Linked DNA regions of Oryctolagus cuniculus. The protein of the gene in region 4 binds, or shares a complex with, the protein of the main gene of each other region. Links are inferred from orthologs where the notes say so. Each region holds a gene or a part of one and is shown on either strand. Other genes may lie near its edges.

Region 1 (4,164 bases), on a different chromosome or scaffold from region 4:
TTTTATTTGTTTTTATATTTCTCAAATATTGCTGATAACACCATACTGACCTTGATTGGCAGGATACTGTTTATGGCCATATGAATCCGTTGCATTCTGGGGGCCTTTCTCTTTAAGATTTTCTTTCGAGGTTGGCATATGCAACACAGGACCATACTCATTACGAAGCTTGATTGCCATTTTTCGTTTGTGACTATTTAAAAATTATAAACATAAGAATGTATCCTTAAATATGTAAAATACACTCACAAATTTAAGTGTTTACAGATAGCTAGGAAACATAATTTAAGTTTGCCCAGTGACGTATAAGTTTCTAGTAAGATTTTAAACAATATTTCAAAAAAACCTAAAATTTCCAAGTGCATTTCCACATCATATGTAGTTACTTTAATTCACAATTTATCACATGGCAGGCATTAAATCCAAGTAATATTTTAATTTGTCACTTAATAAATAAAACATTTCATGATTAGTTATCAAAGGTCAAACTGATTTAAAGATATATAGAAACTAATATACCCTTAAAAATTCTTTCAAGGCCTACACTTATTTCCTTCATATATCTAAATATAAAAACAGTAAAAATTACCTCAGTAACCTTAAACAGATGTATCTAGAAAGGTTAGTTGGAACTAATCAAAGTACTAAATTAGTTCAGTATTTTTAAAAAGAAATGCACTTATATTACTTTTAAGAAAACCTCATCTTGTAAATGAAATAGAAATATTTGTTTCAGGAATTAAGTTTTAAAAAGAAGGGCAAAGGACAAAGAAGGAACATTGCACATAATGCAATCCCAGACTGGAGCTGGAGATGTAGAACCAAAACTATGCCCCCACTCAACAATCTTCACCATACTAACGAGAAAAGATGGGAGTAGAAGTACTGGCCAGGTACAATTTCAGCTCAGCAAGGCTCTGAGAGCAGCGGGAAGCTGAAAGCACATACAAAGTGATTGATTATAAAATAAAATACCTGAACGGGACTCTCCTAATTACCGGACATTTGTAAAATGCAATTAATTAATGGGATTCTTTACCATAAAGGCCAAAAAAAAAGAAAGGTTAAACCAGTTAAAATTATGCCCAAAGAGCTTTCATTAAAGAGACAGTCCATGAGCACTACCTGAGTACTACATGAGTAAAACCAAGTATTACTAAGTAATGTTTAAAGGTCTCCCTTTCCCTGATCTCTTCTCCCAGTATTAGAATTTTAACAATTTTAGCAAATGAAAGAAAACTATGCCTACCTCTCTTCATCCAAAGGCACAGGTTTTCCATTGTCAGCTACAAACATGTCATGGGTCCTCTTCAAGGACCTGAACACAAGCGTGTGCACAGAATGCTTCTGCACTTCCTAGAGAAAGGGAGAGAGAGTGTGTGTGTGTAATTACACACTTAACCTATAAATTACCCACAGCGTAACCTGAATTACAGTCAAACTCATCAGACGCTTTACGTGTGTGAGAATGTCGAACGCTCCATACCACTCACCACAGCTACTCCTGCAGCAAGCTACAAGGGGTCAAGTTCATCGCCAGAGCCTCGGCTAGAGCAGCTGAGTGAGGTGAGAGTACCCCCTTACTCAGGAAATACCTACTAGGCTCGCTCCACCTCTCTGTCAGCACGGTGCTAAAGCTGACAACAGAATGATAGGCAGCACGCTCCTTGTACTCAGGAGGAAGAAGACAAGCAAAACTAGGAAAGCAAGTCCACACTTGGGTAAGCGCTATAAAGACAAGAGGCCAAGGCAGAGAACACAGGAGGAACCAGATATGACGGCGAAAGAGCGCTCTGCAGCGAAGTCCGAACAGACAGGAGGGAACACAGGTAAGCGCAGCCCAGGCAGCGGCACATGCCCAGTGCAAAGGTGACCAAGGACTGAAATAATGCCCGGGGTGCAGGCTGGGTGACAGGGTGGGATGCGGAGTAAGCCGAGGTTGCCAAGGCAGGTAAAGTCCAGTTAGGAAAGGCCTTTTTTAGACCATTCCAACAGTCTCGAGTTTTGTCCTATTGTCACAGGGACAGGAGAGGGGTTTAAGCCAGAAAACCATGGCCAACTTATGTCTTGCATAGAACAATTTATAGGAGGGCAAAAAAAGAAGAAAGTCAGCTGGAAGCCAGTGCGTCGCTCCTGGCTAAAGATAACGTCCGTCTGAATTAAGATGACTTGCAGCGGATATGGACCAGAGAGGATGGCGTCAGGCAATGTTCGCAGTAAGACGAGCAAGGCCTGCTAATGTTCAAACCAGGTGGGAAAAACACGTAAGGCATCAAGAACGGCAGGCTTTCCTGGCGTGGGCTGAAACACGAGGTGAATTGACCGCCAGAGTCTTTTAGGTGGCAGAATTAGTGCCACTATGTACGCCGGCAGCGACAACCGGCCAGGGGTCGGACATCAACAGGAGCCCCGCCTCCGAGGTCAGAGCCCGGATTCCGGGGGTCAGACAAGCACTGCAGAAATCATCTACGGCTCCCCGCCGGACGGAGCTTCAGACTCGGGTTTCCATGCACCCTAGACCCTTTGCGCAAAGCACCTCCCTAAGAAGAGACCACTTGGCCTTGGCCACACAGCTGCCCTGGCAGCCTCTTCCCTCTCCAGCCTCCCAGCACGCTCCATCCCCCCAGCGCGCTGCCAAATAAAACATTCCAGAGGCAAACGCCTCCTGAGCGCCCGACCATCACTTTACCTCGACCATGATGATGCCGTGTACCCCAGCTCTCCTGCAGAACAGACACCTATCACCCGCGCAGAGAGCGCCGCCACAACTGGGCAGCCACTTCCGGAATCGGACGGCCTGGCGCCGGATATGACGTAGAGCGCTGCGCGCGCGCGCCGCTCGCTCGGCCTTTCGGGATCAGGGGCGGGGGGCGGGCCTTCCTGCTCGCGCCTGGGGCCGAGTCTGAACGGACAGGGCTGGGACGTGTCGCAGAGCGTTGTGAACGAGTCAAAATACTGTTTTCTGCCAAATTGAATCAGTTTTACAGTGCGTTAGGGGCCCTGGTCCGTTGTGCTGAATTCCTTGGAAGCTGGATGGCTTTTAGTCGGAAATGTTAAGAAATCAGCGCGGGGGACGGGGGGCGTTCTGGAGAGCGACCCTGCCTGGGCTCTGAGGTCCTGCCCTAACACGGTCTCACTGACTTAGGGGTCGCCTTCCGCGTTTGGGTCGGCTGATTGCAGCGCCTGGCTGGATGCGCTTAGAGCCTGGTGCGTTCTCAGCGCTTGGAAATAGTTGCGCTTACAGAATCCAGCGGCGCTGGTGGGAAGGCATGCTGCAGAACCGTGGTTTCAGGTTGAGAAATTTGGACATGTCTGCAGAATAACTCTTTTACCGCATTCAGCACAGCCCCACATTTATTTTGGGCTACATAGTGTTTTAGTTTCTCATAAACGACCTACCACTTGTCTACTGCCTAGTTGTTGGTGAATATGGGTTCAGTAATGCCACGATGCAGCTACAAAATTGATGTAGTTGAGTGTTTGCAAACAGATCTACAGTCATCTCGGTGGCCCCGGTTCTCCCTTAACCCTCATCAGTTTCACTGATCCTGTCCCCAGCGCATACTGCGGGTCTGGGGTGCAGTGGGGCGCGTGGGAGGAGTCTCCAGCAAGAACAGGGCAAAGTGGTTCAACAGTCTCCTGAAATTCACGAAGTTTTAATTTTATTTAAAACATTAAGGTTATGTTTTTACTTGAAAATACCATCATCTCAGAATTTGAATGCGAGTTTGACTTCAGATTTTATTTTCTGTTAAAGTGGCCCAGGATAGGACACTTTGCAAGGAAATGCTGTAGAGTACGTATACATAGGGAATAAAAATATAACTCACCTATGAATAGTAATTACTATGGAAAAGAATGTTTTTAAATGACAAACTAGAAATGTAAGCAAGACTCCAATGTATCCGACAATACAAGAACTGTCTAGTTGGACTTGTAAGCTTGTTCGATAATCCTGGAGACATTTAATTTATAAACCCAGACTCTTATAAAATATTGTAGTGATTGAAGCAAATTGAACTACTTTTTACTCTTTTTAAAGCACTGTTGAATATACAGAATTATGTACTGTGCTTGAAGCTTTATGGTCTACAAAGCTCGAGTGACCCTCTTACCTAGTTCAGAGATACATGGATTATGTGTAGTGCGGCTAAATTTTGTGTT
Region 2 (4,226 bases), on a different chromosome or scaffold from region 4:
TCGTAGGGCTCGGCGGCCATCAGCAGGTACTGCCAGCGCCGGTCCGGGGGCTCGATCCTCTGCTCGTAGGCCGACATGAAGCGGTGCCGGGGGGTGATGCCCTCGGCGATCTCGGGGTAGTCGATCTGCGGGCGGGCAGTGTCAGGGGCCCCCAGCCCCCACTGCCCCCCGCCCCCGCAGCCCCCACCCGGCCCCGCCCCCGCGGCCCCCCCCCCGACCCCGCGGCCCCGCCCACCTGGAAGAGCAGGCTCTGCTGGCCCATCTCCGTGTCCCGCTGCTTGGTCACTGCAACACCAGGGCCGGTGAGGGGCCCCCCCGCAGCCCCACGTCCCGCCCAGGGCGGCAGGTGAGGCCCAGGTCCCAGCTCAGAGGGCCGGCCCAGGGCTGCACGCCACAGCCCCGCCTGCCCCTCCGTGCCCAGGACCCCGCCTGCCCACAGCCCCACGGCCTCGCCTGTCCCCGCCTGCCCCTCCCTGCCCAGGGCCTCGCCTGTCCCCGCCTGCCCCCCCCCCCCCGCCCAGGGCTGGTGTCGGGCGGCCCCGCCCCCTCACCTTTGTAGCCAGGGCGTCCGATCTTCACGAACTTCTTCACCTCCACCTTGACCTTCTCGGGCGCGGGCTGGGCGGGCGCCTCCTTGGCCTCCTTGGCTGCGCGCCGGGCCCTGGGGCGGGGCAGACGGGCGCTGTGGTCCTCCACACCAGGCCAAGGCCACGGGCGCAGGTGCAGGAGCCCCCCTGCCCGGCCTTGGGCTCCCGCGGGGGGGGTGAGGGGCGGGGCCCTGCGGCTGGGGGGCGGGTCAAGGGGCCCTCCCCCGTGTCACAGCCGGGGGGCGCGGGGGGCACTCACAAGTTGGTCTGATGCTTCTTCCCTTGAGTGTGTGCGAGGTAGCTGCCCTGCGTGGAGGAGGCGGGACATGAGGCCGGGGGCGGGGCCAGGCCGGTGGGCGGGGTAGCGGCAGGCGGGGTGGGGGAGGACCAGGCCGAACAGTGGACAGGGCGGGAGGGGGGGACCAAGCCGGCCGGGGGGTGGGGCAGCGGCAGGCGGGGGTCAGGCCGGGGGCGGGGGGATCAGGCCGGCTGGGGGCGGGGCCAGGCCGGTGGCAGGCAGGAGCGGGGGACCAGGCCGGCCAGTGGACAGGGCGGGAAGGGGGGGGATCAGGCCGGCCGGTGGAGGGGGGGGGCCAGGCCGGCCGGTGGGCGGGGCGGGGGCGAGGGGTTCAGGCCGGCCGGTGGGCGGGGCGGGGGCAGGCAGGGGCGGGGGCAGGGTACCAGGCCGGCCAGTACCTCGTTGTTGTGCAGGGTCAGGCACAGCTTGCACTCGTAGGAGCCCAGGTGGTTCTTCATGAAGTAGGGGTCCTGGGGGAGAGCGGCGCGGGGCGTCAGGGGCGTCAGGGGCGTCGGGGGCGTCGGGCGCGTCGGGGGCGTCGGGGGCGCCCCGCGGGGGGGCGGGCGGGCGGCCCTACCTTGTTGATGTCGATGGTCTCCAGGGCCAGCTGCCGCAGGCGCTCGCGGCGGTCCCGGTTGCTCTCGGAGGAGGAGGCCACGCCCCCACTCCCGGTCTTGCCGCCGGGGCGGTGCTGGAAGTCCATGGTGCCGGCCTGCGGACCTCAGCGCCGGAGAAGCCTGCGGAGCCCAGACCGGGGGGGGCCCTCAGGACGCGGCGGGGGCCGGAGACCCCAGGAGGCAGCCCCCAGCCCCTCCCGGGCGCACCCACGCGGGCTCTCCCGTGTCAGCCGCCGGGCCCAGCCGCGGGCGTCGGGGAGAACGGGGGCGCGGACGACCGCCTGGCGCCCCCCCGCCGTCCACTCCCCAATGCCCCTAAGCCAGGGCTGGGCCTCCCCGTGGACGGCAGGGGCCGCTCGGGCCCCATTCGGGCACTGGCCCGAGTCCTGGCTGCCGGCCCGGGCCCCGCACCTGCTCTGACCCGGCCCGGCCCGGCCCGGCCTCCGGGGACTGGACCGGCGGGAGGAGACCCCGCCCCTGCGACCCCGACTTCCGGGCACGGCGCGGGCGGCCCGGCTGACCCCAGGGCGCTACCGGGCCCGCCCGCGGTCCACGCACGAGCCGCCCCCGGCTGACCCCAGGGCGACCCGGGCCCGCCCGCGGTCCACGCACGAGCCCTGGCGGCCCCACAGCCCCTCCATCGGGACGCGAACCCAGGACCTCAGGGCTGGGGGAGGGGGAACCACGCGAAGGGACAGTCGGACAGCGGACCGAGGGGAAGACGCGGCCCCGGGCACGCAGGCTTGCGGGAGGGAAATCTAAGACGCAGCCGCATCGCCGTCCGCACCCGGGACGCCCCGCAGCCCCCCGGGCGCCCGCGACCGACCCCCACGACGACAAAGGCGCCAGCGGGGGCGGCCTCGGGGGTCCCGGCGGCTTTTGGCGGGAACGCCGGCACGCACCCCCGCGCGCGGCCCCGCGGCCCGGGCCCGCCCCGCCGAGCAGCCGAAGGCCCGCGGCCGCTCCCCGGACCCCGGAGCCCGCCCCGGACGGACGCGAGACCCCCGCGACCCCCGCGACGCCCGCCGCGGAGTTCCGGAGGGCCGGGGTCGCCGTGGGGCCCGCCGCCCGCCCCGGCCCCTCCCTCCCGCGCCCCCAGCCCACCCTGGGCGCCCCGGGGCCCCGATGGCCCCCGCGCCTACTTCGTGTGGGTCGCGCCCCGCGTCGCAGGCCTCCGCCGTCCGCCTCAGGAGCCGCCGCCACGACGTCGCAGTGCGCACGCGCGGCGCGGGCGCTCGCAGCACTTCCGGAGGGAGGACGGGCCCTCGAGTGTGCGCATGCGCGTGCCCGAGGCGCGCCTGCGCACAACGCGCTCCGCGCGCGCACCCGCGTCGGCTCTTGGGGGCGGGGGCGGGAACCGGTAACGCCCCGTCCGCCCGCGCTCGGCGGTCCTTCGATCCTGCTTGCGCCTCAGACCCACTTTATTCCGCGGCTGTGTCGCGGCTGCCCGGCGTGTACCCACGCCCCAGCACGCCGCGGTCGCAGCGCGCAAGACTCGCCCGTGGCGCGCAGGCGCAATGGCGCTTCCGGGGCTCCGACCTGGGATCTTTCTGGCGCGAGCGGGGACGGCGGCCGAGAGGGCTCAGAGCTAGCAGCGCGCGTTCCCGGTCCCGGGCAGCGCCGGCGCCATGCGCTACAACGAGAAGGAGCTGCAGGCGCTGTCCCGGCAGCCGGCCGAGATGGCGGCTGAGCTGGGCATGCGGGGCCCCAAGAAGGGCAGCGGTGAGCGGGCGCGGGCGCGGGCGGGGGCGCGGGGGCGCGGGGGCGCGCGGCCGCCCTGAGCCCGCTGTGTGCCCGCAGTGCTGAAGCGGCGCCTGGTGAAGCTGGTGGTGAACTTCCTCTTCTACTTCCGCACGGACGAGGCCGAGGTGGGCGCGGGGCGCGGGGCGCGGGGGCGGGGCGCGGCGCGGGGCGCGCGGGCGCGGGGCGGCCCCGCTCACGGCGCGTGTGCCCGCAGCCCGTCGGAGCCCTCTTGCTGGAGCGCTGCCGGGTCGCCCAGGAGGAGGCGCGGAGCTTCTCCATCGGTGAGTGCGCGGGCCGGGCGGGGCGGCGCGGGCGCGGGGCGGGCGCGGGCACCCACAGCGGCCGCTCCCGCAGGCTTCCTGGAGGACCCGGAGAGGAAGTACGTGTTCGAGTGCGGCAGCGAGGAGCAGTGCCGGCAGTGGACGGAGGCGCTGCGCAGGGCCAGGTGGGGCCGGGGCGGCGGGGGCGGCGGGGGCGGCGGGCGCGGCGGGCGCGGCGGGCGCGACGGGGGCGGCGGGCGCGGCGGGCGCGGCGGGGGCGGCGGCCTGACCCCGCGGGCACGGCCTCTCCCGCAGCTACGAGGTCATGCGGAGGAGCCTCATCTTCTACCGGAATGAGATCCAGAAGATGACGGGCAAGGTGCGGGGGGCGCGTGCGGGGCGGCCGGGCGGGCGGGGCTCCCGGCCCCGGGCCCCGGGTCACCGCGTCTCCCCGCCCGCCGCCCTAGGACCCCCTGGAGCAGTTCGGGATCTCCGCGGAGGCCCGCTTCCAGATCAGCAGCCCGCCCAGCGACGGGCGGCCGGCGGGCACCGGGCCCGGGCCCGGGCTGGACGCGCTGGACTGACCCCGGCCCGGCCGAGCCTGCGTGGGAGGGGTTCCTGGCGGAGGCGGGGGCTGCCCTCTGGGGGTCCCCGCCCTGCGAGGCCCCTCCCCGCGGCACCGGCCGTCCTGGACCGGCTGAATGTAGAGCGGAGCTAGACC
Region 3 (4,148 bases), on a different chromosome or scaffold from region 4:
CCAGCAGACGCTCTGGGCTCCTGGCTTCAGCCTGACCCAGCCCTAGCTGTTGTGGTCAGTTGGGAAGTGAACCAGCGAATGAAGATCTCGCTCTCTTTCAAATAAATAAAAAATAAATCTTAAAAATATATATACATACGTATATGACAAAGGACTGGTATCCAGGATATACAGAATTGTAACAACCCAGTAATAAAAAGAAACCATCAAAATAAACAACAGATTCAAACATAACATCACAACAGATGTGCAAATAGCTAATAAGCATTAGTCATTAGAAAAATACAAACTAAAACTTAAGGAAACACTACCATATACCCACTAAAATCCATAAAATTAAGCAGATTGACAACAACAAATGCTGGTGAGGAAGTGGAGCAATTGGAAGTCTAACATATTGCTATTAGAAGTTTAAAATGGTACAAGCACTTTGAAAAATGGTAGGGCATTTCTTATGAAGTTAAACATATCCTTACCCTATGTAGAATTCTGCATGTCTGCTCCTAAGTATACCCTATGTAGGATTCTGCATGTCTACTCCTAAGTATTTACCCAAGAAAAATCAAAGCTATGTATACAGAGATTTGCATAAGGATGTTCAAAACAGCTTTAAACAAAACATATCATTTTAAAACATACAATTGGACTACTATCCTACAATTAAATTTTTTTTTTTAAATACTGGGGGTGGGCGGCACTCAGCAGGTTAACCCTTTACTTGGGACAGCTTCCTATATTCCGTAACAGAGTGCAGGTTGTTGTACCAGCTGCTCTACTTCTGATCCAGCTCTCTGCTAATGCACCTAGGAAAACAACCCAAGATGGCCAGAGTGTTTGGGGCCCCTGTCACCCACGTGTGAGACCCAGACAGAATCCCTGGCTCCTGGTTTCAGTTGGCCCAGCCTGGGCTGTTGTGGCACTTAGAAAGCGAATCAGCAGTTGGGAGGCACTTCTCTGTGTTGCTCTGCCTTGTTTTAAATAAACAAATCTTTAAAGTAACAAAAAGCAAAACTAAATGTTGATGAATCTCAGGAGCATGCTAAGAAATCTTAAGCAAACATAAAAAAGACATATAGTCTTTTTTTATTCCAAAGAATAAATTCTACTGCAGGCAAAACTACAGTGGAAGAAACACATTGCTTTGGTGGATGTGGAGCTAAAAGTTGACTTGAGATAGCTTAAGGGAACTTCTTGAGGTTTTGGTATTTTACCATGGCAGGGGTTTGGGTTACACTAGTGTATAATTTTTCCACTCTCAGGAAATACACACTGAACTTCACTTAAGAAAGTGAAGTTTGTCTCCCTGGTTTTGGCTAGGGTGACAGGATAAGGATGATAATGCCACCAACTGAGATGCAGAAATAAATACAATGAGCATACACAAACTAATTAGTCAAACCATTTTCTTGAGGCAAGACACAAGAGGGTTTGTATCTACCTAGTACCTAAGACACAGAACGGGATTCAGCACACTCGTTAAAAATTACAGGGAAATTCTGCTAGAACATGTGCTATTTTCAAATGAGACAAACTGAATCTTCAGTGACAAAAAAAAAAAAAAAAAAAAAAAAAAAAAATTCATTAAGATTCAAACGAGCAGGTATGGAGAAATATAAAAATACACTGAGTTCTGAGACTGTTATACAAAGTTATAATTCAAATAAGAATGAACATTCACATTAAATGTCTTCTCTACAAACTCCACCCATAAAGTATAACTGTATTTCAAACATACTAGATGTTAACCACTTATCTGTCTTCAGCACTAAACAAAAAGTTCCAAGGCAGGGATTCTTGCCTTTAAGAAAATTCTATTATCGGCACACAGTAACTGTAACAGGTGCCCCATAACTGGTCAGCACTGCCAGTCTCGACTTGGGAGGAAAGAAACTCGTCAAATACTTCCAACCGCTAGCTTAGTACCAGAAACCACCGCTGGGCTGCAGGCTCAGCCTCCATGTAAAGCACCAAAATCTAACCTATCTGCAAGCAGTTTGGAACTAATTACAAACATCAATAAACAATCCTTTAGTAGGCTCAACTAAGCAACACAATCGCAGAAAGGAAACCGGAGGAATTACCAGCTATGTGTAACCAGCCACAATCAAAAAGTATTGGCTTTTGCCTCATAGTGGGAGATTTTTCTGATCAAAAGTCTAGGGAGCATCGAGAGAGACCAAAAACTTTAAAATCACAACTTGCAAACTAGTTCCTCTCTGATCTAAAACATGCTGCAAGTAGGCTTCCTTATTTCCATGATAAACTCCGTCTTCAGACCCACGGGAGCTCCATGCGCACAATGAGAATGGGTAACTAACGCGAGACCAAGCCACCTTCAAGGCCCCCAAGGCAGCAGGTGACAAGACGCAGCTCGGTCTTCAAGCCCGCCTCTTGGAAGACAGGCGAGGCTGAAGAACGATCGATCACGACCCGGAGCCGCGGCCAAGATGGGGCGCGCGCGGCGGGCGCCGCAGGCCGTTAGCAGGCCGCGCGCACGCGGCTTTCCCGCCTCCGGCCTCGGGACCGCTCAGCTTCCCGAGCCCGGCCCGAACCCTTACGGCTCAGCCCCCGCCTCGCTCGGCCACCTCCTCACCTCACGAGCTTCATCGTAGCGGCGCAATCGTCCTTTCTGCTCGATAACGCAGAGAATGCAACTACCGAGGACCGGCTAGGCGTATGAATGGCCGGAAACGCCTACTCCACGGGCTCCGGACGTAGCGAGCGCGCGGAGCACTGTGGACGTGCGGCGGAAACGCCGAGGCCTTGCTGGGCCACTTTGCCTTCCGGCCAAGGGGAGCGCGACTGCGACCCCTCGCTGCCGGAGGTATGCATTGCAGAGGCTGAGGGCGTGACTGTCTGTCTAAGGAGAGGGCGATTTGAACAGTTAAATCCAATTAGCAGTCGCCATCACGCTTCGGCACGGCGGGGCGCGTTGGCGAAGCACCAAATACAACTTCCTCCGTGAACAAAGAGCGGTTTTGAGAGAAACACAGGTTATTGCGAATTCTGGTCCAACACCAAGAACCTTATTTAGCATTACTGATGAATCTGAAGAAAATTGCAGAATTATGTTTCCGAGACACAGTTGTCTGTTTTCCTCGTACTCAACGTCTCAGTAACATTCAACACACTTCAGTTTTGAAATACCTTCTACCTTTGTTTCCCGGGCCAAGCACTCTGGGTTTCTCCCTAACCCACTAGCTGTTCTGTCTAGGCCTCTGAGTCTTTACACGTGTCAGGATGCTTCAGGGCTTACAGCTGTAGTCCTTTTTAGGAAAACTTTCTCCTTTAGCCTGGGCGATCTCCTCCAAAACTATGGTTTTAATTTGTAAATCTAGATTGAACTTCATCCATGATCACCAGAACTCTAGGATGTTGTAAGGCAATGCTCATCAAACTTTAATGTGCACAGGACAGACCCAAGGAATTTTTTAAATAAAGATTTATTTATTTTGAAAATCAGAGTTAACAGAGAAAGAGGGAGAGTCAGAGATCTTCCAACCATACGTTTTTCCCCAAGTGGCTGCAGCAGCCAAGGCAGAGCCAGGCTGAAGCCAGGAGCCCAGAGCTTCCTCCAGGTCTCCTACAAGGGTGCAGAGGCCCAAGCACTTAGGCCCTCTTCCGCTGCTTTCCCAGGTGCCTTAGCAGGGAGCTGGATCAGAAGTGGAGCAAGCCGGGACTTGAACTGGCACCCATGTGGGATGCTGGTGTTGTAGAGGCGGCTTTACCCGCTATGTCGCACCACCAGCCCCATTGAGGAAATTTGAAGATGAAAATTCTGGTTCAGTTGTTGTAGGGCCTGAAATTCTGCATTTCCAGAAGCCTTCAGTTGAAGATTTCCCTAGTCCATGGATCACAACTTGAGTAGCAAAGCTATGAGGCATATTTGTGAGCAGTCCTCACAACCTCTTCTACTCCCCTTTCTTCTCGAGAGTTCTCAGTATTCTTCTGGAGACGCACGTGGTCCTCAGGAAGCTGACTCTACCCTTTATGTCAATGATCAGGTTCCTTTACTTGTCCACATTAGGACTGATCCGACCAGACCTTTGCATAGAATGTTCTTCCCTTTTGAATGTAATAGATTGGTAGTAGTTCCTGGAGCTACTGGGAATGTCCATAGAACCAGAAAAACCAGCCTAAACATCGAA
Region 4 (4,215 bases):
GCCGTGGCCGCAGTTTGGCCCCGGGGACACGCACGTCAACTCCTTTTCGCCGCCCGCCCCTCCTCTCTGCATCCCGGGGCTGTTGGGGTAAAACCAGGCCGCCTTGGTGTGTCCCCCGGCCCCCGCTCTGTCACCAGCAGCCCTTCCTCTCCTGCCCAGAGATCCCCCTTCCCGACAGTGGAGGCACGTGGCTCCGTGCCTGCAGCCTCAGCCGACCTGCCCCGGTGGGCTCTCCGGTTACAGGGAGCAGAAAGAACCTTCCCTCAGGCCGGGAGGGGTTCTGCCTGAGTGGGCTGATGTGCCAGAGAGAAGGGCACCGCTTTTTTTTTTTTTTTTCCCTGTGCTGTTGTGACTTCCCTGGGACTGGCAGCAGGAGCCGTGGGCTGGTGACCTAGTGGGTGGGAGGGAGGGGTGTGAGCCAGGCTCCCCCGGCCCGGTGCTTTGCTCTGCCCCCAACCCTCACCTTCTGGGCTGTGCTCCCGGCTCCCAGGTATTTCTCACTGAGGACAGTTAAATGCAGCTGGGTGGAGAAAGGATCTGAGGGTGTGTGTGTGTGCGCGCGTGTGGTGAGACCCTTTCGTGAGTCTTCCTGTCACTCAGCACAAGGACTCACACAGGCCCTGGAGACGCAGAGCTGGTGGCACAGGTGGAAAGTGAAATGCAGCCGATGGGGCAGCGCAGTCAAACGTGGAAGCTGGGCAGGCAGGGTCCCCTGCTCGCCTCTCCGTGAGCTCGGCAGGGGATGCCAGCGGAGTGGGGCTGACCAAGACCAAAAAAGATAACAAGTGATGTCGCTGAAGATCCGCTCTTCCGGTCACCTTTATTGGGCGCCCCTTGCACGCCAGGGGCTGCAGCCGTTGGATCAAGCCCCGACTCGTCTTTTTCAGGCGGATGTAAGTGCAAAGACCAAGACTTGAACAAGATGGAGCAGATTTGAACGCATTACGAGAACTCCAGGAAAGCCGGAGAGGGCGGGCCTGGAAGATGTGAAAGGGGCTTGGGTGGCAGCGAGCGCTCCACTCCGTCCGTGCGGGCCCGGGCAGACAATCGGCCCGACCTTCCGCTCCCGCCGCGGAGCGAGTCCCTCGGGACCCCCTGGGAACGCAGGCACTCAGGCCTCTCACGCTTGGCCCGGGAGTCGAGCCAGAGGCTGGAAGCCTGCGCTCGGGCGGGCGAGACGCAGAAAGCACTCCCTGGGGCCGGGACTCGCCGCCCGCGCGGCCCCGCTCCGGGCGCCGCAGCCCAGGTCTGCGCTCCGCGTCGGAGCCGCGGCCTCAGTGTACTACGACTCCCAGAAGGCTCGGCGGCCTCAGTACTACGACTCCCAGAAGGCTCGGCGGCCGGCCGGCGAGTCACGTGACAAGCCGAGCTCCCTCCGCCGCCGAGAGGACGTGGCGTGCGGCGCTGCCGGAAGTTCCGGGAAGTAGGCCCCGAGGGCGGCCGGAGCTTCCGGGCTGGTCGCGCGCCTTCCTGTGGCCAAGATGGCGGCCGAGCATCCCGAGCCTCCCAAAGGCGAATTGCAGTTGCCGCCGCCGCCGCCTCCCGGGCACTATGGCGCCTGGGCTGCCCAGGAGCTCCAGGCCAAGTTGGCAGAGATAGGCGCTCCGATCCAGGGTGAGGGCTTGGAGGGGCCGGGAGGGCACCGAGGGTCCGTGGAGACGCGGAGCCCGGTTACCCGGGAGACTGGGGGCGGGGGCGGGCCCGCGCCGCTGACCCGAGCCTCGCCCGCAGGGAGTCGCGAGGAGCTGGTGGAGCGGCTGCAGAGCTACACGCGCCAGGTGAGTGCCGGCGGCCGAGGGGGCCCGCCCGGCGTCGTGGTGGCCGGCCCCGGCGCGGAGGAGTCTCTGGCTCCCTGGTGGGCCGCCCTGGAGCCTCGCTCTCTCTCTCGCAGACGGGCATCGTGCTGAACCGGCCGGTCTTGAGAGGGGAAGATGGGGACAAAGCCGCGCCCCCTCCCATGTCGGCACAGGTAAGGGGGCGCCCCCTTCTCTCGCCTGCGTCGGGCTGCCGTGCGGAGGTGGGAGCTCCGGGTCCGGCCCGCTTCCCGGCGTCCGCGCCTTCGAGTTCTGGCCCCGGGGGTTCCGCTTGAATGCGGCCCGCCCCGCGTGCTGCCGTGTCGACCTCTTGGCCCGCCCCGCGTGCTGCCGTGTCGCTGTGCGAGACTGAACGCGCGGGTGGACTCTGCAGAGCTCGCAGCGCCTGGCACGCCGGTTGTCTCCCGTCCGTCACTTATGCAGGATTTGATGCTTTTCCTCCAGAGAGTGCCTCTGACCCATGGCTCTGCACTCCTTCAGCGGCCTTTGTCTCGCTCTTTCTTTTTTTTGACAGGCAGAGTGGACAGTGAGAGAGAGACAGAGAGAAAGGTCTTCCTTTGCCGTTGGTTCACCCTCCAATGGCCGCCGCGGCCGGCACACCGCGCTGATCCGATGGCAGGAGCCAGGTGCTTCTCCTGGTCTCCCATGGGGTGCAGGGCCCAAGCACCTGGGCCATCCTCCACTGCCCTCCCTGGCCACAGCAGAGAGCTGGCCTGGAAGAGGGGCAACCGGGACAGAATCCGGCGCCCCGACCAGGACTAGAACCCGGGGTGCCGTTGCTGCAGGTGGAGGATTAGCCTAGTGAGCCGTGGCTCTTTTTAAAAGTGTCTCTTTTTAAAAGGTTTATTTATCTACTTGGAAGGCAGAGTTAGAGAGACGGAGGTCTTCCATCCGCTGGTTCACTCCACAAATAACTGCAGTGACTGGGGCTGGGCCAGGCTGAAGCCAGGAGCCAGGAGCTTCCTCTGGGTCTCCCACGTGGGTGCAGGGGCCCAAGCACTTGGGCCATCCTCCACTGCTTTCCCAGGAGCACTAGAGGGAGCTGGATCGGAAGTGGAGCAGCCAGTGCTCAAACCAGCTCCTGTAGGGGATGCCGGCACTGCAGACGCTGGCTTAACCCGCTGTGTCCAGCGCTGGTCCCTCAAGTGTCCTGGAGTCGTGTGGAGCAGCTGTGTTCGTGGTATTTTTCCGTGGAGACAGTCGGTAGCTTTCTTTGGATGGTATCCCAGAGAACTTCCCGTTCTCTTCCAGTGCACAGAGCAGTCTCTTACAGAGCAAGAAATCACGTCTCTGTCTTTTTCCTTGATTTTGAATATTTTTTTACTTATTTATTTGAGAGGAAGGTTTATAGACAGAGACCGAGAGAAAGGTCTTCCATCCGCTGGTTCACTCCCCACGAGCCTGCACCCATACGGGCTGCTGGCATCACAGGCGGAGGCTTAGCCCACTGTGTCCCAGCACCGACCCCAGGATCTCGTCTGACTTGGAATCCCAGTGCCTGGCTCAGAGCAGGCTCCCAGCGGATGCTGGCAGAGGGCGTGGGCGAATGCCTCCTGGCTCACGATCGCATTTTCTCCACAGCTCTCTGGGATTCCCATGCCACCGCCACCCATGGGGCTCCCTCCTCTGCAGCCCCCTCCACCCCCCCCTCCACCCCCACCAGGCCTTGGCCTTGGCTTTCCCATGGCCCACCCACCAAATTTGGGGCCCCCGCCTCCTCTCCGCGTGGGTGAGCCGGTGGCGCTGTCGGAAGAAGAGCGGCTGAAGCTGGCGCAGCAGCAGGCGGCACTGCTGATGCAGCAAGAGGAGCGCGCCAAGCAGGTAGGGCGGGGGAGCCTGGGCCTGGCCTCGTGGGTCCCTGCGGAGAGAGTGGGCTCGGGGAGTTGGCGCCGGGACCAGAGGCAGAACCAGGCCGCAGGCTGGCGGCAGAGCTGGGGCAGGCGGGCCGTGGGGAGTTGTGCTGGTGTGAGCTTGTTTTCTCTCTTAAGCAGGGAGATCATTCACTGAAGGAGCACGAGCTCTTGGAGCAGCAGAAGCGGGTAATGCCCCCCTTCCTGACCTTTGACCTCACGGTCCAGGCCTTGGCTGTCACTTAACCGTGCTTAGTGTGCAGGACGAGAGGCACCGTTCGCGTTTTCTTTGGAGGCTGCCTCATCCCCAGCTAAATTCCAGCATCTCTTGAAGAATTCCGTTGTTCCTCAGCCCACAGGTTGGCAAACCACAACCTGTGGCCTGTGTCTGTCTGAGCTGTGAGCTGAAAATTTTTTTCCTATTTGTAAAGGGTTGTTGTAAGAAAAGCCCAAATCAAGAATGTCTAGCAAAGTCCTCACAACAGCCCGTGGAGGCTGATGCCCACTGGTCCACCACTAGTCCACACGACGTCCCCTTAGGTGCCTTGGAA
Region 5 (4,299 bases), on a different chromosome or scaffold from region 4:
ACCACCTGCAAGCCAAAAAGCAGTTCCCTACCCCCACACAGGTGAAACTAAACCTGACACCTTATTTGACACCTTATTCTTCAAATTCTAGACTTCAGAATAACGAGAAAATAAGTTTCTAACATTTAAGCGACCTAGTCTGTATTTCGTTATGGCAGTCCTAGCAAACGAACACAGCCACTATGGAAAATAAACAATTTCTTTAAAAATTAAACATGCAACTACTATACTATACTATAGTATAATATATAGCATATATACTATATATGCTATACTATACTATATACTATACTCCTGGGCATTTATCCCAAAGAAATGAAATCTTATGTTCACATAAAACCTGTTCACAAATGTTTATACAGCAGTTTTATGTGTAAGAGTCAAAAACTGGAAACCTAGATGTTCTTTAATGGACAAACGGCTAAACTAATACTACAGATACCACTCAAGAAGAAGGAATGAACTGATCAATGCAACAACCTACATGCCAAAGAACTTTGCTGAGTGAAAAAAGCCAGTCCCAAAGGTTACATGGTGTGTGATGCCGCTTATGTAACTTTTTTTTTTTTTTGACAGGCAGAGTGGACAGTAAGAGAGACAGAGAGAAAGGTCTTCTTTTGCCGTTGGTTCACCCTCTAATGGCCGCTACACCGCGCTGATCCGAAAGCAGGAACCAGGTGCTTCTCCTGGTCTCCCATGCGGGTGCAGGGCCCAAGCACTTGGGCCATCCTCCACTGCACTCCCGGGCCACAGCAGAGAGCTGGCCTGGAAGAGGGGCAACCAGGACAGAATCCGGGGCCCTGACCGGGACTAGAACCCGGTGTACCGAGTGCCGCAGGCGGAGGATTAGCCAAGTGAGCCGTGACGCCGGCCTGTAACATTCTTGACACATGACAAAATTAAGCCAACAGATTAAAAGTTGCCAGGACTTATGGAAGGGAGAAGGTGGGAAAGAAGTGGGTGTGCTATAACAGGACAACATGCCATGTCCAGGTGGCAGGAAAAACGTTTTGTAACTTATGCCAATATTTTGATTGTGATATTGTGACTACACTTCTGTACCATGCTTCCATTGGGAGAAACACCTGTCTTTATTAAATCTGATCTAAATCAGTAATTATCTCAAAATAAAAAAGCTTAAGAAAACCAGCAGAAATTTACCAACAACCAAAACAAACTCACACACTCAGTTTTCAGAAAAGCCCGCTGCAGGTGTAGGTGCTGTCTCTGTGGGTGTGCTTCTGGCTGGCTGTTTCCCTGGCTGCGGTGGCAGGAAGAGGCGCTGGCCTAAGACCCCACCTCAACACACCCCAGCCCACTTACCTGCTTCACTTTGACTGCCGAGTGGTGAGGACTCCGACTTCTCTTGCTCCGAGGAGACTTGCTTCTTCTCCCCGAGGACTTGTTTTTCTTTTTGGCTGGAGACCTTTCAGGGCATGGTACACACAGGATTTTATCTCAGTTTCCCTTCCCCCACATAAGCTAGCTTCTGGTATGGGGCTTACCTACTAACACAAACACATTTGTGAAAGACTGCTGATCACACCAAAGGAGCCGGGGGGCTTCCCGTTCCTCACCTACTCTCCCGCCTACGCCGCTGCCTCGGAGCCTCGGATCCTCCTCACTCAGGGAACACGGCTCTCCATCCCCTACCCTTTGAAGACTCTCCTGTCCAGGTCTGTCCCTTGGCTGTTCGCCCACCACCATGCAGAAGTCACTCTCATCACCACAATTCACGGGAGGCACCTCCTCCCCGGCCCACCTCATCGCTACCATCCTCCTCCTCCTCCACGATCACGACTTCTAGCTCACGTTCCTTGCACGTTTCCTCGGCGGCCAGATCACTCAGGTCTCTGCTCAAACGGCACCTCTTTCAAAGAGTTCTATCCCCGCTTCCTTCCAGTCTCTCACGATCACCTTACTGGGCCGACCTAGCCCTGAGACCTGTTGCCATCGGAAACTGTTTTGTTTGCATGTTGGCAGTCTTCCTGGGGCTCAAGCTCGTCCAATTTCACGAAAGCCTCACCCGTGTGGCCCAGGTCCCTAGTGCACTCTTTAGTACCCTATAGGCATTCAGTAAAAGTACGCTGAACGATGAACAAACAGTGCACCTAGCAGATCGCTTATACTCGCGTGGGGTGGATAAGGGCGAAGACAACGCCCGCACTCCCTGCGCGGGCAGACGGGGGGAAAATCTTTCAACTTAACGGACGATGAGTGCTAGCCGCTGGGCCACGCGCTCCGCGAAGTGCTGGCGACACACGAAAGAGGGGGCGAGGCCCTGACCCACAGGCATCAGCTCGACCCCAGCTGTCACGCAAGTAACCAGCACCGGAGCACACACGCCTTTACCCGAGCGCGACCCGGCCACTCCCACCGCCTCCCGCTGCTGGGCTCGGCATTCAGAACCCACTTCTGATGCCGGCCCTGTGCTCTTTTCTCAATGAGTCCGACCCAAGGTCCACCCCGGCTGTTCTCTGCTTACCGGCTCTCTCCCCGGGCTCTGCTCCCGCGGTGGCCAGGGCGGCCCGGCTCGCCGGCCGGCGGGGACGGAGTAGCGCCGAGGTCCGGCCGGCGGGGGGCGGGCGGCTCGGCTTCCGGGCTGAGGCGCTCCTGCTTCACCACCACCGCCGCCGCCGCCGCCGCCACGTCCCCCTCCCGGTGCCTCCGCCGGCTCCTCCGCTCCCGCTCGCTCTTCACCTCTTTCATTCTGCGACTCGGGTCGGGCAAAAGAAAAGAGGTCCGTTGAGCCACTCTCTCCGAAGGAAATGACGAGCTTGACCTCTGGACTTCCGCTTCCGGGGTGTGAGCTCTCCCAGCAACCCTCGCGGCGGAGCGCTGAACATGTGACGGCGCCCCCCCCGTGGGCGGGGCTGCAGGGAGCCGGCCCGAAGGGCGGGAGTTTTAAGTTTGGAAAGCAAACTACTGGGGAAAAGCGAACCTCTCAAGTTAATTCTTCACCGCGTAACTACAGAGCATGTGGGCAACCTCAGTGTACAGCTGTAGGGGGCTCCTTAGCCAATCACTGGGCATTACGTAGCTATTAGTAACGTTATCACGAACCATATACCGCTTTGTGGAAAAAGCCCGGACCGACACGGTAGAGGAAGGCGACGAAACTGCGCGCCAACCGTGATTCCATTTGGCCTTGGAAATACAAAAATGCAATCATAGTAGCCCGTGGACAAATCCTGCTATGTCAGTTCGCCATTTAACCTTGAGGAATACTTTTTAAAGCCCTGGGGATTCCAGAGACCCTCTTTTGGGGAATGGTCTCCAGCCCTTCACTGAGGTGACAATCTTGGGGCTCAGCGAAGGGGGATCTACCCAATCACGCAAGTTGCGCGCTATACGCAGCGCAGGGACTCGAACCCCCGTCTCCCGGGCGACCCGGCTGGCAGCAAGATTAAGACGCCGAGTGCCGGGGCCGAGCGCCAGGGCTGCGCGGGACGCGTCCGCGCGCCGCGCCACGCCCACCCGAGGCCCCGCCCCGGCCGGGAGGGGGGGCGGTTTCCATGGTGACCGCAAACCAGGCCCCCATCGCCGCCATGATCCCCCCGGCCGACTCTCTGCTCAAGTACGACACCCCGGTGTTGGTGAGCCGGAACACGGAGAAACGGAGCCCCAAAGTGAGGACGGGCCTCGGGGGACCGGGCCAGGCAGATCCCCGCGGCGAGAGTCCGGAGTCCGGGGACGGGCCCTGGGACGGGCGGAGAGGGAGCGAGTGGTCCGGGTGGTCCAGATGTCGCTGGGTGTGAGCGCCGCAGGTTAGACCTGGTCGCGGGGAGACAGACGGTAGGGATTCCTCTCCCGGTAGTCGGGTTCAAGGACAGGTCAGGTCGCGATGTCCCCACCGCTACAGGTGGGAGCGCAGACGCCTGACCGCTTCCTCCAGAAACACTGGTCCGCGCATTGCGTTGGGACCAGGGACTCTTCACGGGCTGGGGGTAGGGGAGGGGGTGCGCAAGACCCGGAGGCGTCCAGGGGGCTGAAGGCCTGAATCGTCTCTTCCCAGGCTCGGCCACTGAAAGCCAGCCCCCAGCAGCCGGGACCCTCCAGTCCAATCCCACAGATAACCAAGACCAAGCTCCCCTCAACTTCCTGTGTCCCAGATCCTACAAAGCAGGCAGAAGAAATTTTGAATGCCATTCTGCCCCCAAGGTAAAGCGTGGGCGCAGAGGCTGGGAGAAGACCAGACTTTGGTAGTGTGGGGAGAGGCGTTCGGCCCCCGTGCCTGGCCAGGGTTTCCTCCCTTGCTGGCCTGGAGCCGAGTCCAGAGGGTGGCAGGAGACCGCATCT
Region 6 (3,500 bases), on a different chromosome or scaffold from region 4:
TGAACTTTTAAGATCCCTTATATCAATCTAAGTAATATGATATAATTTACATAAAATAACAGAGGGAATTATAACAAAGTACTAAAATTTGTTATGGTAATGAAGTTAGGTATGAATTTTGATTTTTTTTCAACTAGGCTTTAATATATTTTCTACAATGTGCATATAATTAAATAGCTACATGTTTTTAAAAGGATCCAGGTTTACCCACCCTTTCTCTCATGAGAGCAAGGTGTCCACCTGCAGGGGAGGCAGGCTAACCAATGGGCAAGCAGCAGTGCTGGTGCTCCAGGCTTTACCAACTGGGAGACCCTACAGGGCCTGGCCCCTCAGCTCGGTAAATGGGGTACCAGGGATTCCCCTCGAAGGCAGAATAGCACCTGACACACAACAGACTCTCTGTACGGGGTTCTTGTTGGAATCTGTGGTAACTGGGAGGCACAGGGATAGACAGCCAGGAAGCGGCACGGAGACTGGGGGTCACGGTTGCAGAAACCTGGGAAATCATTCAGCTGGGTCTGTAGCGGAGGCTCGCATGTGCTGACTCCACGTCCAGCCTGAGTTCTCAACCAGGCCTTGCAAATGTGCATGTGCCTAGATCGGGCTGGAGAGTCGCTGGCAGCACACACGGTGAGGGAGAGTCCACTTGTGAGCAGGAGGCCTGGAAGGCCTCTGTACGCATGGGAAACTTGCACTTCTCAGAATCTGTCTCGCTCTAAAGCGTTTATGCTTAAGACAAGCCCCCTGTTCTCCCATTCGCTCCCAGTCACGTTCATCTTACTACTGTTCTGAAGCCACTCAGCCCCTTTTGGTCTGGAGGCCAAAAAGAGGCTCACTTGTAACTATAAAAGGCAGCAAAATGCTCTCCCCAGCAGGACACTGTGATGCGAAGCCACCTCTGAGGCATTCAGGGGAGAGGCACACAGGACTCTGGGGAGGCTGGCAAGACAGTGCCAGGCTGAGCTCACCAAAGGTGTCGGCGTAGATCTTGGCAAAGGAGCCCAGCGTGAAGCAGATGCTGTACTGGGAGCTGGAGAAGCAGACGTTGCCCAGGAGCGGGGAGAGGATCAGGTTCTCGTCAGTGGAATACATGCTGCAACAGACACAGGGTAAGCGTGCCGCAGGCCCTGACCTCTGCCACGGGGGACGGGCAGGGATGCCTACACAGCCACTCGCCAGCCCTCAGGAGGAGCTTGCATAAGACGCTCAGTCTGGCCAACAGCCTGGTCCAAGGAAGTGACATGATGGAGCTGTTCCCTAACTCTCAGTAACAAGCTGGCTTCTCAGAGCCGGGAACGTTCCGCACAACCTTGGAGGAGCTAACCACATCAGACAGACAAGGGCAAATGTGGAGGACAGAGACAAAGACCTTGGAAGACGGGAAATGAATCTAAAGTGATAAGAAATGAATATATTTGAGAGAAATCTCAACTTCACAAACACAAACATAAGAGAAAGAGCGAGAGAGACACAGAGGTAATTTATCCTCTACTCTTCTTTGTCCTGTAGTCTTCGGCTTTCTTTTAAACATGAATGCTAAACCGCAAGCACCTCAAAAGGTCACGAGCATTTGTAAGAAAATCAGCTGTACACAGGGGTCACACCCACAACTCTATCCTAACGGGCACATTATTTTATGGGATCCTCTCACTTGGAAACGAAAGCATTAGCTTATAAAGAACGGCCCCTATCCATCCCACTGCACCCCCCATTCTGCTCCCCAGTGGCAAGCGGCTTCAATCCATTTTATAGCTGCCTGGAGTACTTACCTCCATATCCCTAAATACTGTTTTGCTGCTTTCTGATTTTGAGGTTTCAAACATGCCCTCTTGATTTTCTATCCTGGTAGATCAGGATTTAGTTCCATCCCACCCCCAGCCTTCCTTTTAAAAAGAAGTGCTATTACTTCATCTTTTGGACCCATGACGCTGGGCTGGGCTCCAGCCATTCCCAACCACTCCAGGGATGAGGAGGAGACACTCCCAGTAGGCAGCAGTGCCGCAGGCTGGGGCAGCTGCGGGCAGCGGAGCTGTCACCGGCCCCAGCCGTCAGACAAGCTCCCAGTGGCCGTGTCCTCGCCCACTTAGGGGTCTCAGGAGTCGTTCAGTACATACTTCAGCCTGCAGATAAGACTGGCTTTATTTAATTTCTTGTAACATCCCTCTAGGCAAATATTACCATCATTCCATTTTTTATAGAAATGGAAACTGAGCTTATGTAATTTGCCAGACTCTACAAGAGAGCTTAACTTATTTTCCCTACTTCATGTAGTTGGTACGCAGCTAGGATGAGACCAATCCTAGAGCTCAAGGTATTGCCCATGACAATAAATTAAAGATGCACGAAGGTCACAACTGGCTAAGGCACAGGTACTGAGGTCAAGGTCGTGGAGGCAATCTCTGTAAAGACCTGAGATGCGCCTCCAGTCTTGCCCAACAAGCTCATCCACACACGTCAAGAAGTAAATCAGAGTTGCTCCCAAAGGTATTCAAGGGTAAAATTAAGATTTATAAAAACCAGCGTCCCTGAGGACCGGAAATCCACTCCCAGCAGTTTCATACCTTATTAATCCATTGACCTCATCCACAATGTGGCGCAGCTTGTAATAGGCATCGGTTGGAGGCAGCTTCAGCTCCAGGATCAGCCGGTCAATCTTGTTGATGCACACGGTGACCGCCAGCCTCTCCTGCACCGCGTGCTTGATCAGCCGCTCAGTGTTCAGCATCACCTGAGAAACACAGGCTCTGAAGGTGGTGACACAGCAAAGAGGACAGAAAGTCCAGAGCAGAGCCAAAAGGGCACCGCTTCCAAACATGAAGCAAGAGGGCAAACGAGAACCTGGGGAAACACACTGCTGGGCAGCAGCAGACAGCATCTCGCCAAAGGCAGATGCGGGCACTTTCAGAGGACACCCTGTAGGACTAAGAAATGAATAAACACACTCTCAGTGCTAGAGAAAGGACAAGGCAGGCCAGCAACAACTGTGGTGCTGGATGGGAACTGGGGGATGTTAGGATGGACAAATGATTTTTAAAAAACATTTATGTATACATTTATTTGCTTGTTTTAATTGAAAGGCAGAGGGACTGAGAGAGAGAGAAACAGAGAGCACTTCCATCTACTGATTCCCTTCCCAGATGCCGGCGATAGCCAGGAGCGGAACTCAATCTGAGTCTCCCATGTGGCTGGCAGGGACCCGAGTGCTTGGCCATCACCACTGCCTCCCAGCGTGCACATGCGTAGGTTGTTAAATCAGGAGTGGAGCTAGAACTCAAAGTCAAGCACTCTGAAACAGGTTGCAGGCATCTCAAGCAGTATCTTAACCACATGCCAAATGCCTGCCCGTGGACAAATGATTTTGAATACACACGTGTAGAAATAGTTACATATATCCGTATGCATGTGTGCATGGATATTATCTAGTTGTACTCTGTGAAAGAACCTACAGGCACAGGCAATGTACCCCGGTGGCAATGAGCACACCCAGATACTTGTTTCTA
Region 7 (2,985 bases), on a different chromosome or scaffold from region 4:
CTGCAGCAGGGCCTGTGAACCAGTTCCTGCCAAATTCATAAGGGGCTGAGTGCTATAATAGAAACTAAGATTCAAAATGAGAAGGAACTACCAATCAGACCAAAGGTGTGCGATGGAGCTACCAGTGTTCCCACCTGAGCAAGAGCGGCTACGTGAAAAGCAAACCAAGCACAGAAGGTCGCCTGGCGTGTCTGCACACAAAACAGGAAGCTGACTAACCAAAGGTAGAAACAATCCTAACGTCCGTCCCAAGGAATGGAGAAACAAAGCGTGGTCTCTCAACAGGATATTATTGAGCCTTAAAACAGAGTGCAGTACTGATACATGCTATAACATGGATGAACCTAGAAAACATTATGCTTAGTGAAGGAAGCCAGACACAAAACGCCACTGCTGTGTGATTCCTGCTCTGTGGAGCATCCCAAACAGGCAAATCCATAGACACAGAAAGCAGATGGGTGGCTTCCAGGGACAGGGAGGATAGGGGTAATGGCACGTTATTGCTTAATAGGTATTAGGTTTTATTTGGGGACAATGTGAATGCTTCAAAACTAGACACAGGTGGTGTTTGCACAACATGGTGAATATAAGTGCCACTGAATTGCTTTGAATTGGTTAACTTTATGTTATCTGCATTTCACATCAATACAAAGAATTCCAAGGGAAAAAAGTATGTGGAAAAATATCTCAACCAAAAAAAGAAAAAGACAAGACATTTAAAGCTGTTTTCAAACAGGGTTTAGAGAGGGAGCTGGTTGTTCTTAAGAATCCCATCAGGCACTGGCGTTGTAGTGCAGTGGTAAGCTGGCTCCTGTGATGCTGGCATCTCAGATGAGCAACAGTTTTGAGCTGCAGCTGCTTCACTTCCGATCCAGTTCTCTGCTAAATGCGCCCAGCAAAGCAGTGAAAGATAGCCTGAGTACTTGGGTCCCCAAACCCATGTGGGAGACCTGGATGGAGTCCCTGGCTCCTGGCTTCAGCCTGGCCCAGCCCTGGCTGTTGTGGCCATTTGGGGAGTAAACCAGCAGATGGAAGATCTCTGTGTCTCTCCCTCCCTTCCTCTGTAACACTGCCTTTCAAATAAATAAAATTAATACTTAAAAAAAAAAGAATCCCATCACATTCACCTCCAGCTGTCTGAACCTAGTTAAACCACACTTCACTGCAGTTCTACCTGCTAACTGGAAGTCTTAGAATGCTGGGTTCTCAACATTGAAGACAAAGACTAGGCCTCTAGAATTGTCTGTAATTTTCCTTTTCTGGCAATTTCATCTCAAGCTGGGGGGGCTATGGGCCCCATGGCCAATTTATGAACGAAAATTCAGGACACGTTCTCTGTTAAGTTCCAAGTATATTTCCAGGGATGATGGATTGTACTAGAAAATGCAGGGTATCTGCCAATGAAACCACAGCCTTCTCAAGGACTCCACTACTCAAGGGATTTTTTAAAAATCAGCTCTAGAGATTTCATATGGAGAAGTAATGGCGTAGCTGAATCTGACTGCATTTTAGAAACACATTTCATTTCCAGATCTACCGAGCGGCTGAACTGGCTTCAGTGACGCCTACGCTCACTGAGATTTGAGGACTCCCGCTCCCGGGAGCTACGGGACTTCTTCTGTCTGTGAGATCGATCTCGGCTCCGACTTCTACTCCGATGGCTCCACCCATCCGAATGCCCATTGTGCCAGCTAGAACACGCGTCTGAGCTTCGTCCTTTGTCCCTATCCCTGTTCCTTTCTTCTCTGGCCTCTCTCCTGTCGGAGGACCTGTGCTCATGCTTGGATTTCTCCTTCTTCAGCTCCCTGGCCAGGTCCTCAACTCCACCGCGGGGGACAGTTCTGACCTCAGGGGAGACAGGGTAGTGCTTCCGTGCTTCCCTGGACTCCGACTTCGGCACCTTCTCGGAGCCCTTGGTGCTGCTTGTCTTAGGGCCAGGCTCATCCTTTTCCTTTATTGTCTTGCTTCTGGGCAAGGAAGAGGGAGATGGTTGCTCGACCAGTACTGTCCGGTCACTCTTCTCTTTCTCTTTCTCTTTCCGTCTTTTCTTTTTTTCCATTTTGTCTGGAGAAGAAGGGCGACAATCGGTAACAAAAGGGAAATAGAACTCCCTAAAGCCATGTCTTTCCTCTCCGTGTACGTGACATCCAGCAAAGGTAGACCAGTTTACCAATGCCTGCCTGCCGGGAGGGGAGCCCATGGGCAAGGAAAATAGGCTGGGCAGCAGCGTGAAGCCGTCACCCTGTGCTTCTGGGAAAGTGCTGCGGGGAAGCAACTTCGATGTCTGTCACCCGCAACGTCAAGTTGCTGGGCACGGCCATTCCCACTCCAGTCTCTCTCTGAAAACCACATGTCCAGATGCAGTCACAGTGGACTAGGGGTGAGGAGTTCAACGTGTCGATTCTGGGGAACACAATTCAACCCAGAACAGGAGTCTTCTGCTGACACCTCCCCTTCCCCAATTAAAATAAGGTCCCCCCACCTCTCCTTCGCATACTTATGACCCGATTATCAACCATCAATGAACTCTAGGAGGAACAGATGCTAAGACTGCCAAGTTTCTCTTGGGTTTGAATGTTTTACCTTTTTTGTGCTTTTTTATGGGTTTCTCTTCTTCAGAATCCTCAGATGAACTCGGTGAGGGGGTATTAACACCACAGCCCATCGCCTGGAGCTCTCTGGTCACATCGTCCATGTCTTCTGAGACTTTAGGAACCCGATAATTAGCCACATGATCTACCCGGATAGTTCTTCCTTTGATCTAAGAAAAACAGGCAGCGTCTCAAAAAGGCAGGCTTCATTTCAAACTGTCCAGCTGTTTGAACGCCATCTATTACCCTCTCTCTAATTCTATTACGGCGCAAACCGCCACAGCAGACCCACTCAACCAGTCTGAATCACTGCAGGTGTGCCTAGATGGTAACCCATTCAGCCTTTAGGGCAGCGGCAGCCAGCTGGGCCCGGGACAGTTGTACTAGCGTTCTC

Evidence for each region.
Region 1: SF3B2 (region 4) and PLRG1 share a complex: the UniProt entries of both Homo sapiens proteins name them as parts of the minor spliceosome. The link is inferred for Oryctolagus cuniculus from reciprocal best matches to the Homo sapiens genes SF3B2 and PLRG1.
Region 2: SF3B2 (region 4) and SF3A2 share a complex: the UniProt entries of both Homo sapiens proteins name them as parts of the 17S U2 SnRNP complex. The link is inferred for Oryctolagus cuniculus from reciprocal best matches to the Homo sapiens genes SF3B2 and SF3A2.
Region 3: SF3B2 (region 4) and SNRPD1 share a complex: the UniProt entries of both Homo sapiens proteins name them as parts of the minor spliceosome. The link is inferred for Oryctolagus cuniculus from reciprocal best matches to the Homo sapiens genes SF3B2 and SNRPD1.
Region 5: SF3B2 (region 4) and SNIP1 share a complex: the UniProt entries of both Homo sapiens proteins name them as parts of the minor spliceosome. The link is inferred for Oryctolagus cuniculus from reciprocal best matches to the Homo sapiens genes SF3B2 and SNIP1.
Region 6: SF3B2 (region 4) and EFTUD2 share a complex: the UniProt entries of both Homo sapiens proteins name them as parts of the minor spliceosome. The link is inferred for Oryctolagus cuniculus from reciprocal best matches to the Homo sapiens genes SF3B2 and EFTUD2.
Region 7: SF3B2 (region 4) and RBMX2 share a complex: the UniProt entries of both Homo sapiens proteins name them as parts of the minor spliceosome. The link is inferred for Oryctolagus cuniculus from reciprocal best matches to the Homo sapiens genes SF3B2 and RBMX2.

Annotation. Positions count from the first base shown.
Region 1 is NC_091439.1:11,052,317-11,056,480, forward strand, and holds the start of PLRG1 (pleiotropic regulator 1), read right to left. Parts: upstream 2,801-4,164; 5' UTR 2,699-2,800; coding exon 2,690-2,698; intron 1,357-2,689; coding exon 1,250-1,356; intron 935-1,249; exon of another isoform or gene 863-934; intron 194-862; coding exon 51-193; intron 1-50. UniProt on the Homo sapiens protein: Involved in pre-mRNA splicing as component of the spliceosome. Component of the PRP19-CDC5L complex that forms an integral part of the spliceosome and is required for activating pre-mRNA splicing.
Region 2 is NC_091447.1:59,110,152-59,114,377, reverse strand, and holds the start of SF3A2 (splicing factor 3A subunit 2), read right to left. Parts: upstream 2,801-4,226; 5' UTR 2,645-2,800; intron 2,021-2,644; exon of another isoform or gene 1,914-2,020; intron 1,623-1,913; 5' UTR 1,589-1,622; coding exon 1,463-1,588; intron 1,356-1,462; coding exon 1,284-1,355; intron 894-1,283; coding exon 847-893; intron 662-846; coding exon 552-661; intron 286-551; coding exon 236-285; intron 126-235; coding exon 1-125. Other genes in the region: PLEKHJ1 (pleckstrin homology domain-containing family J member 1), read left to right, coding at 3,131-3,224, 3,303-3,370, 3,460-3,526, 3,600-3,690, 3,821-3,884, 3,973-4,089. UniProt on the Homo sapiens protein: Component of the 17S U2 SnRNP complex of the spliceosome, a large ribonucleoprotein complex that removes introns from transcribed pre-mRNAs.
Region 3 is NC_091441.1:56,034,661-56,038,808, forward strand, and holds the start of SNRPD1 (small nuclear ribonucleoprotein Sm D1), read right to left. Parts: upstream 2,801-4,148; 5' UTR 2,608-2,800; coding exon 2,594-2,607; intron 2,508-2,593; exon of another isoform or gene 2,334-2,507; intron 1-2,333. UniProt on the Homo sapiens protein: Plays a role in pre-mRNA splicing as a core component of the spliceosomal U1, U2, U4 and U5 small nuclear ribonucleoproteins (snRNPs), the building blocks of the spliceosome.
Region 4 is NC_091432.1:5,766,885-5,771,099, reverse strand, and holds the start of SF3B2 (splicing factor 3B subunit 2), read left to right. Parts: upstream 1-1,415; 5' UTR 1,416-1,481; coding exon 1,482-1,614; intron 1,615-1,731; coding exon 1,732-1,778; intron 1,779-1,891; coding exon 1,892-1,969; intron 1,970-3,395; coding exon 3,396-3,635; intron 3,636-3,802; coding exon 3,803-3,853; intron 3,854-4,215. UniProt on the Homo sapiens protein: Component of the 17S U2 SnRNP complex of the spliceosome, a large ribonucleoprotein complex that removes introns from transcribed pre-mRNAs.
Region 5 is NC_091438.1:135,212,801-135,217,099, reverse strand, and holds the start of SNIP1 (smad nuclear-interacting protein 1), read right to left. Parts: upstream 2,801-4,299; 5' UTR 2,710-2,800; coding exon 2,486-2,709; intron 1,427-2,485; coding exon 1,324-1,426; intron 1-1,323. Other genes in the region: DNALI1 (axonemal dynein light intermediate polypeptide 1), read left to right, coding at 3,516-3,629, 4,016-4,161. UniProt on the Homo sapiens protein: Required for pre-mRNA splicing as component of the spliceosome. As a component of the minor spliceosome, involved in the splicing of U12-type introns in pre-mRNAs. Down-regulates NF-kappa-B signaling by competing with RELA for CREBBP/EP300 binding.
Region 6 is NC_091448.1:18,115,124-18,118,623, forward strand, and holds part of EFTUD2 (116 kDa U5 small nuclear ribonucleoprotein component), read right to left. Parts: intron 2,729-3,500; coding exon 2,562-2,728; intron 1,094-2,561; coding exon 969-1,093; intron 1-968. UniProt on the Homo sapiens protein: Required for pre-mRNA splicing as component of the spliceosome, including pre-catalytic, catalytic and post-catalytic spliceosomal complexes. Component of the U5 snRNP and the U4/U6-U5 tri-snRNP complex, a building block of the spliceosome.
Region 7 is NC_091453.1:108,064,832-108,067,816, reverse strand, and holds the end of RBMX2 (RNA-binding motif protein, X-linked 2), read right to left. Parts: intron 2,762-2,985; coding exon 2,584-2,761; intron 2,065-2,583; coding exon 1,556-2,064; 3' UTR 501-1,555; downstream 1-500. UniProt on the Homo sapiens protein: Involved in pre-mRNA splicing as component of the activated spliceosome. As a component of the minor spliceosome, involved in the splicing of U12-type introns in pre-mRNAs.